2 linked regions of the Caenorhabditis elegans genome follow. The protein of the gene in region 1 purifies or fractionates together with the protein of each later gene. This does not show direct contact. Each region holds a gene or a part of one and is shown in the gene's direction. Other genes may lie near its edges.

Evidence for each region. Proteins that work in one complex are often made in the same cells at the same time.
Region 2: the proteins of djr-1.1 (region 1) and ndab-1 fractionate together in Caenorhabditis elegans (co-fractionation; one large-scale study listed by BioGRID). This does not show direct contact.

The regions. Positions count from the first base shown.
Region 1 is NC_003280.10:287,802-293,337, forward strand, and holds djr-1.1 (Glutathione-independent glyoxalase DJR-1.1), read left to right. Parts: upstream 1-2,780; 5' UTR 2,781-2,807; coding exon 2,808-2,939; intron 2,940-3,132; coding exon 3,133-3,406; intron 3,407-3,772; coding exon 3,773-3,930; 3' UTR 3,931-4,048; downstream 4,049-5,536. Other genes in the region: misc-1 (Mitochondrial 2-oxoglutarate/malate carrier protein), read left to right, coding at 78-394, 514-672; mrpl-41 (Large ribosomal subunit protein mL41), read left to right, coding at 1,138-1,346, 1,962-2,069, 2,175-2,300, 2,405-2,504.
Region 2 is NC_003281.10:11,914,653-11,917,290, reverse strand, and holds ndab-1 (Acyl carrier protein), read left to right. Parts: upstream 1-1,578; 5' UTR 1,579-1,580; coding exon 1,581-1,724; intron 1,725-1,780; coding exon 1,781-2,038; 3' UTR 2,039-2,138; downstream 2,139-2,638. Other genes in the region: Nuclear pore complex protein npp-16, read right to left, coding at 1-384, 605-1,161, 1,219-1,356.

The DNA.
Region 1 (5,536 bases):
ATTTTGTTGGAAATTGTTGGAAATTCCAAATTTTTCATTTCAAAAATTGAAATTTTAATAAAAATTTCTCATTCCAGGAGTCGTCAATGCCCTTACCCGTATTACAAAAGAAGAAGGTGTCCTAACTCTTTGGCGTGGATGTACACCTACAGTACTCCGAGCAATGGTCGTAAATGCCGCCCAACTTGCCACATATTCCCAGGCGAAACAGGCACTTTTGGCTTCTGGAAAGGTTCAAGATGGCATTTTCTGCCACTTTTTGGCATCAATGATCAGTGGATTGGCAACTACAATTGCATCGATGCCTGTCGATATTGCAAAAACGAGAATTCAATCAATGAAAGTTATTGATGGAAAACCGGAATATAAGAATGCTTTTGATGTTTGGGGAAAGGTAAATTTAACTTTTAAAAAAATGTAAAAATTCGAAAATCTAATTTTCCCGTTTTTGCTAAAAAGTAGGTTTTCACTCGGATATCCCCAAATTTTAAACCAAAAATTTAAATTTTCCAGGTCATCAAAAACGAAGGAATCTTCGCCCTCTGGAAGGGCTTTACCCCATATTACATGCGTCTTGGACCCCATACCGTGCTCACTTTCATCATTTTGGAACAAATGAATGCCGCCTACTTCCAATATGTGCTCAAGCGAGATGTGACCAGTGCCTTGTAGAATCGATTTTTCAGCTATTTTTCGACCAAAAAATCACAGTTTTATTATTTTTTTTGAACATAATTTTATGCTATTTAGGTTGTGTTGTGTACACTTTTCAGATTTTAAATTTTGGCCAGAAATTTTGTTTTAGCCAGGAAAATTCAGTATTTTTTCTTCAGTTTTTCGTGTTCATACCAATTTTTTCTTGTATTTTTTTCTGCATATAAATGCAATTTTTAATGATTTTCAAAACGTTTGTTCTCTGTTTTTTTTTTTGGTTTTTTCCCGCTTCTTATATTTTTTAAAATTCTATTTTCAGGTATTGCAGGCAGGGCTATTTCAGCCAAAAATCCATTTTTTCTCGATATTTTCATTTTTAATTTTGAAAAATCCAGATTACCATTCAAAAATCGACTTTTTTCTTAATTTCCATATTTTTAAGCAAACAATCGAAAATTTCAATTAAAAAATCCAATTTTTCAGATGAAACTGGTGCTCGTAAGCACTCGTGGAGTCCGTTCACTCAATTCAACCAATTTTCCGGCTCCATGGCCATTTGTGAAGAAAGGAGCATTTGGACAAAGGAAAATCGGTCCAATGAACTACGAAAAATTCAAATGGCCCGGACAGAATCGCGAATTTCCAGAACTTTCTCCGAAATTTCAGAAATTGAATCCAAAAGAGTTGCATAGGTGTGAAATTTTGTAATTTTTTTCAATATTAACCCCAAACGTTTTAAGACTTTTAAATTTCTCATCCAGACCACTTGGGTCTGCTAAATCGAAAATTGTAGTTTGTAGTCTAGCAGACCAAATTTCTTCAAAACAAAATGGGTCTGCTAAACGACAACTTGTAGTTTGTAGTGTAGCAGACCCAAAGTTTTCAATTTTCGCAATAAAAATTAGAAAATGATGAATTTTTCAATTTTTCAGTAGGAAAATGAATTTTTTTCAAATAGAAATTAGCAAAAATTCAAGTGTTTTGCAATTTTTGTGTTTTAAGACAAAAGTGCGTATTTTCATATTAAATCCTGAAAAAATCGGAACTTTCGGGGAAAATTGATCTAATATCAAATTTTTGAGTGAATTAACATTGTATTCCAAAAAAAAAAAGAATCAAAAATCTAAATTTTAAGCTGAAAACAGGCAATTTTTATATTGGTCTGCTAAATCGAAATGTGTAGTTTGTAGTCTAGCAGACCAAATTTCTTCAATATCACTCGGGTCTGCTAAATCGGTATTTGTAGTTTGTAGTCTAGTTTGTAGCAGGCCCATCCTCGATTATTTTCTAAAATTTTAATTTTCCAGGTACACCGGAGTCCAGGCGGACGGATTTCACGACGAAAAGACTGGAGAGTTTGTACCGGTGAAAGAGATGCGATCAGAGCTTGTTGTACCGAATTTGGATGGTTTCAAGTACGATTTAAGGGATTTTCAAATGAAAAATTCACGAAATATGGGTAAAACCCATGAAAATTGACTTTTTTTTTTGAATTTTCAAGTTCAGTTTCAAGTTTTCAGACTTCGGCCCTACGTCTCCTACCGTACAGATGTTCAAATCGAAAAGCGACGAGTTGCGTATGAGAAGAAAGTTTTGGAAAAAGGATCCGAACGATTGGCTGATTTACATACTGTTGAGGATGAGAGGTAAAACTAAAAATTTCTGATTTTTTTTATTTGAAATTACCTGAAAAAAAGCAGTTTTGTAGATTTTTTGCCCAAAAAATTGAAAAAAAAATTAAATTTTCCAGATGGCCACCACCGAAAATGTCAGCTGAAACATTGTTCGAATTGGCGTACGGCGACACTGTCCGAAGTGCATACAAGGAGGGAAAATATGGAAATAAATAATGTTAAATCGATTTTTTTTTCATAGATTTTTCATATTTTATAGCGATTTTTCTGTTATATTTTTTGTTTTTGTTGAAAAAAAAATTTCCCTTTTTTTTCTGTATTTTTTCCTCAAAATTCGAGTTGTTTCCCCTTTTTTATATTTAAAATTTTCAGATTTGAAGTCAAAAACCAAGAAATTGACTAATCTCCTAAACATAAACTTAAAAAAAAACGTCAAAAACCAAAAAATTTTAATTTTTAAAACTTACTTTTGAGTTTTTTTCCCTTTTTCAGAATTTTTCAACTGAGCAACTTTGAAAAATGGCTCAAAAATCGGCTTTAATCATATTGGCGGCCGAAGGAGCTGAGGAAATGGAGGTCATTATCACTGGAGATGTACTTGCTCGTGGTGAAATTCGTGTGGTTTATGCCGGATTAGATGGAGCCGAACCGGTACGGGAATTAGCAGAAAATTGTAAAAAATCTAGAATTTAAAAAATTAAAAATTCCGAAATCCCAAAAAAAAAAATCAATAATTGAGGTATTTTAACCCCAAAATATGTTTAAATTTGAGAAAAATTCAGAAATTTCAAATAATTTTTCTTTTCGAAACCAGTCAAAAATCATAAATATTCACATTTTCCAGGTAAAATGTGCTCGCGGAGCCCACATCGTGCCAGACGTCAAACTCGAAGACGTGGAAACCGAAAAATTCGATATTGTGATTCTTCCAGGCGGCCAACCGGGCAGCAACACGTTGGCTGAAAGCCTACTTGTCCGCGATGTTCTCAAGAGCCAAGTAGAGTCTGGTGGGCTGATTGGAGCAATTTGTGCAGCTCCAATTGCACTCTTGAGCCATGGAGTCAAGGCAGAACTTGTGACAAGTCATCCAAGTGTTAAGGAGAAACTCGAGAAAGGAGGTACAGCTGGTTTTGCACTTTTTTTGGTGAAAAGTCGCTAAAAATCGAACAATTTCATAGGGGAGCCTTAACTATTCATTAAAAAAATCTACATTAGGCAAAACTAGCGAATTTTTCACTTGCAACGTGGCCTGGAAAAAACTCGGCCACCGAATTTTCCGCGGCCACTTAGTGAGATCCTATAACTTTCATGACTTATGTGTTTCTATCCAAATTGATGGTATGAATATCGGTATTCTCGGCTGAAACATGCAATAAATACCGTATTCCAACCAACAATTCGGTGGAATAGAGCACATTTGTCACTGGGGATGCGGAAGCTATGCCCAAATTTTCATTTCTCCCCGAAAAACTTGTGATTTCCAGGCTACAAGTACTCGGAGGATCGTGTTGTTGTCAGTGGCAAAATCATCACCTCTCGTGGACCCGGAACTGCCTTCGAATTTGCGCTGAAAATTGTGGAGCTGCTTGAGGGAAAGGACAAGGCCACCAGCCTTATTGCTCCGATGCTCCTGAAGCTCTAATTCTTCCCGTTTTTTTTTCGCTGAATTTCCTCTTGGTTTATTGTATATTCGTCACAATTTCACGTTTTTCCCACACCTATAAATTATACATTTCTTTTTTAAATAAAAAATCTAGAAAGCTCCGAGAAAACTACAAATTTGTTTATCCAATGACAGCAGTCACCCGAGTAACGAGGACATACTCTGATGAGCTTAATCAACAGAGCGCGCGCGCGAGCAACTTAAAATGACTTCCGCGGTTATTTCCCTCACGAAACTTTGATTTTTCCTTTTTTCTCATTTTTCTTGCGAATTTATATTATTTCCTAAACTTAAGTGTAAGACGTGTAAGCCTAAGCCTATCCTAAACATAAGCCTAACAAAGTAAGCCTTAGCCTAGCCTAAGCCACAGCCTGAACCTAAGCCAAAGCCAATGCTTAAGGCCAAGTCTAGCCTATTCCTAAACCTAAGCCTAAGCGTAAGCCTAGCCTAAGCCAAAGCTGAAGCCTAAGTCTATCCAAAATATAAGCCTAAGCGTGAGCCTAGCCTAAACCTAAGCCTAAGCATAACCCTAAGCCTAAGCCTAAGCCTAGCCTAAGACTAGCCTAAAACTAAGCATAGCCTAAACATAAGCCTGAGTCTAAGCCTAAGTCTAATCCTAAACCAAAGCCTAAGCCTAAGTCTAGTCCTAAACCAAAGCCAAAGCCTAGCTAGTGAATCAAGTCCTGAACCAGAGAACTAACTAAGCCTTGAGCCCCCAGAAGCCCGGAGTTACCTCCAGTGCCGAAATTGACCGTCTTGGACTCTCTATTTTCAGATCCTGACGCATTCTGACCTTGATAATCGGCTTCTGACTCTCTTTTGTGGTCTTTTTTTCCAATTTTCAGAAAAAGCGATGATTTTTTTCCGGATTCTGTCACGTCAGAGATGTTGCAAGTCCGAGAAACATGACATTTTTTGTATTTTTGATTGTTCTGATTTTGATTTTTTGAATTTCCACACGAAAAGTGGTTGATTGAATGCCAGAAGATATCAGGATTTTTTGTTTAAAGAATCATCATACTTCCGTCTTTGACAAATCTTCGATACAATTTATCGTAATTGTGCTTGGCCATTACGGTTCATTTTCTATCATTTAAAATATCCTAGTAGGCCCAAAAAGGCTTGATCTACGTAGATCTACAAAAAATGCGGGAGTTTAGACGCAGAGTTCTCAACTGATTTCGCATAGTTAAGAACGTGCTGACGTCACATTTTTTTTGGGGCGAACAATTCCCACATTTTTTGTAGATTTTTTGTAAACATTTTTTGTAAACAGTGATCGGACAGCCTGACACCACGTGCTCTACCGTTAAGGTTACCTCCACCGACATCTTGCCTGTGCATGTATACATTTCTTTTATTCACTAAACCCTGTTTTTTTTTAAATTTTATAATAGGAACCGTAAGTTAAGAATTTCTGACTGAGATAAAAAAGAACTGCAAGATTTCAAGAGAAAAATGGTTTAGTTTATTCAAACTGAACTTTATCCTCCAGAAAAAACCTGATCACTTTAATTTTCTTCAATTAGCATTGATCTCAAGAACTGAGCTCGATTATTGTCGAAAACAAAGCGAGATGTTACAT
Region 2 (2,638 bases), on another chromosome or scaffold:
TCCATGGCTTTCTGTGCGAGACCAGCGAATCCGCTGAAAAGGCTTGAGCCTCCAGTGGAGCTTGAGCCAAATGATAATGGTTGAGTGGCGGTGGTGGTGGTGGAGGCAGAGCTTGATCCAAATAATGAAGCTGCCGTGGAAAGAGCCGAGAAAGGTTTTGGAGCCGATGTGGTAGAGTCTGCGGAGCTTCCTCCGAACACCAGAGGCTTAGAAGGACTGGCTCCGAATAGAGAGCTAGCTGGTTTCGGCAAATCTGCTTCTTTTGGTGAGCCAAATGTCAATTTTGGTGTGGAATCCGCAGCTTTTGGCTCTTCGGAAGGCTCGGCGGGCTTCTTTCCGAACGAGAATCCACTGAATTTTGGAGTTTCCTTCGGCTTGTCGCCACTGAAATTTTGATATATTGGTGGGTTTTTTTTAATAGAAAATAGTCTGAAATTGCTATTTTTGCAAAAAAGCCGACATTTTCGATTTCTAGTTGGAAAAAACAATTTTTCAGCGTAAAATGTAGCATTCTCACCACGAAAATGCTATTTTTTATGTGGCAAAATGTTAGAAAATTCAATTTTAATGAATTTTTTCCAATTTCGATTATATATATACTAACTCTTTTCCCAAAAATGCGAAAAGTGAGCCTGAATTACTCGGAGCCGCCGGCGCATCAGACTTTTTCGTCCAGAAATCCTTGGTGGGCTCCGGAAATTTGATCGTCGTAGCCGGAATCTTCACACTCGACGTGGCGGCTTGTCCGTCTTCGCCCGATTTGAAAACCACTGATTCAGCTCCACCGAGAGGTCCTCCGCCACGAATCGCGCGTTTTCGGGCGGTCGCTGGAGCTGCTGGAGCAACGAGTGGCTCTGCGGTTTTTGCGAGTGGAGCTGGCGTTTCCTTGGTTATCACTGAAATGTCGCCAAACTTGGGCACAGACGCGACTGTCGCCGCCGGGCTCGAGGCAGCGAAAACTGTAGAATTCAGCGGATTTTTTGGCGTTCCATTCTTCCGCACAGCTTTGGCTATTTTCCGCGGAGCAACTGTTTCTCCAGAACTTTCAGACGAGTTTTCGGTTCGTCTGGGCACTGTCATATCGGCTGCAACGTCATCATCGACCTTATAAATCTGCTTGAGCTGTGCCACATGATCCATATATGATTTCATAGTTCCAGACTGAAAGATTAGATCTTTAATTAGACATAAAAAAAAGGTTTTAAACCTTAAACTTACAAAATCATAATGATTCTTTTCCGTGAAATATCCGTTGATGACTTTGAGAAATTCTGCATTCAGGAGGCTCATTTTGTCGCGGAGCCGGAACATGTTCATTTGTTGCTCAGAAGTTGGCGGTGGAATTAGGGAATTCATCACGAATCTGAACGAAAATCTGTTTTTTAATTTGAATTCGCAAGACTGTGCAATGTGACGTGACGGTGTTTGCGTACTCGGCATCAAACCCGACGACGCTTGCGGGCGTTTCTTTTTATTTTTCACTTATTTTTCAGGCTCGATGAGTCATTTCCCGATTTCCCGTCAAATTTTTTTCGAATTTCGGTTCGAAAAATTATTATTAATTATTTATTTGTTCAGAAATGTTGCGAGTCGCCGTTTCCGCTGCTCTCCGCACTGTTTCAGTGCGTGCACTGAGCAATGCGTCCGTCCAACAACGAGTCATCACCCCAATACTCCTCTCCGCACAGAAACCAAGCTTCCAAATCAGACAATACTCTGCAAAGGTGGGAATTAACAAAAAAAAAATATTTTTTCGCAAAAAGAAAACAACATTTTCCAGGCTCCACTGACCAAAAAGACACTCGAGGAGCGAATTGTGTTGGTTCTCTCACTCTACGACAAAATCGACGCGAAGAAGCTCACAATGGACTCGGATTTCTCGAAAGATCTCGGCCTCGACTCTCTGGATCACGTAGAAGTTGTGATGGCGATGGAGGAAGAGTTTGGATTCGAGATTCCCGACGGAGATGCGGATCGCTTCAAGACGCCACGCGACATCTTCCAGTACATCGCCGACAAGGAAGACGTTTTCGAATAATTTTTGTATTTCTTTATCTTTTTAGCTGCAGTAGAAATATTTTCTATTATCATTTTTTTTTGTTTTTCGGATTTTTTTTCAAAAATAAAAGTTTGAAATTCATTTAATAATTTTCGCGTTGATAAAAAGTTAATTTCTTTCTGATATACTTTTCTCAAAGGCGCACAGATTTAGGGGTCTCGACGCGAAAGTTTATGGTAGCCGCTTTTTTAGTGCATTTTTCCAGAATTTTGGCGTTTTTCTTTCTTTTTTTTTGTTGAAATTTGTTTTTCAAGTCGAAAAACAGGAGAAACACAAATTTTTAATGAGAAAACTAAAAAAAAAAACGTTTTTGCAGCGAATTTCGTTATTTTTTCTTGTTAAAAATTGATTTAAACCAGTTTTTTTCGTTTTTCAGTTCAAAAAACAGAAAAATCACAAATTTTTGAGCAAAAAAAACTGATTTAGAACAATTTTTTCATTACAATTTTAAAAAAAGTGTTTTTGTTTACATTTTAGCAAATTTTATAGGTGTTTTTCTGTCGAATTATGTTTTTTTTTCAGGTCGACAATCTATACAAACCGATTTGAATCAGTTTTTAACAAAAAAAATCAAGAAAA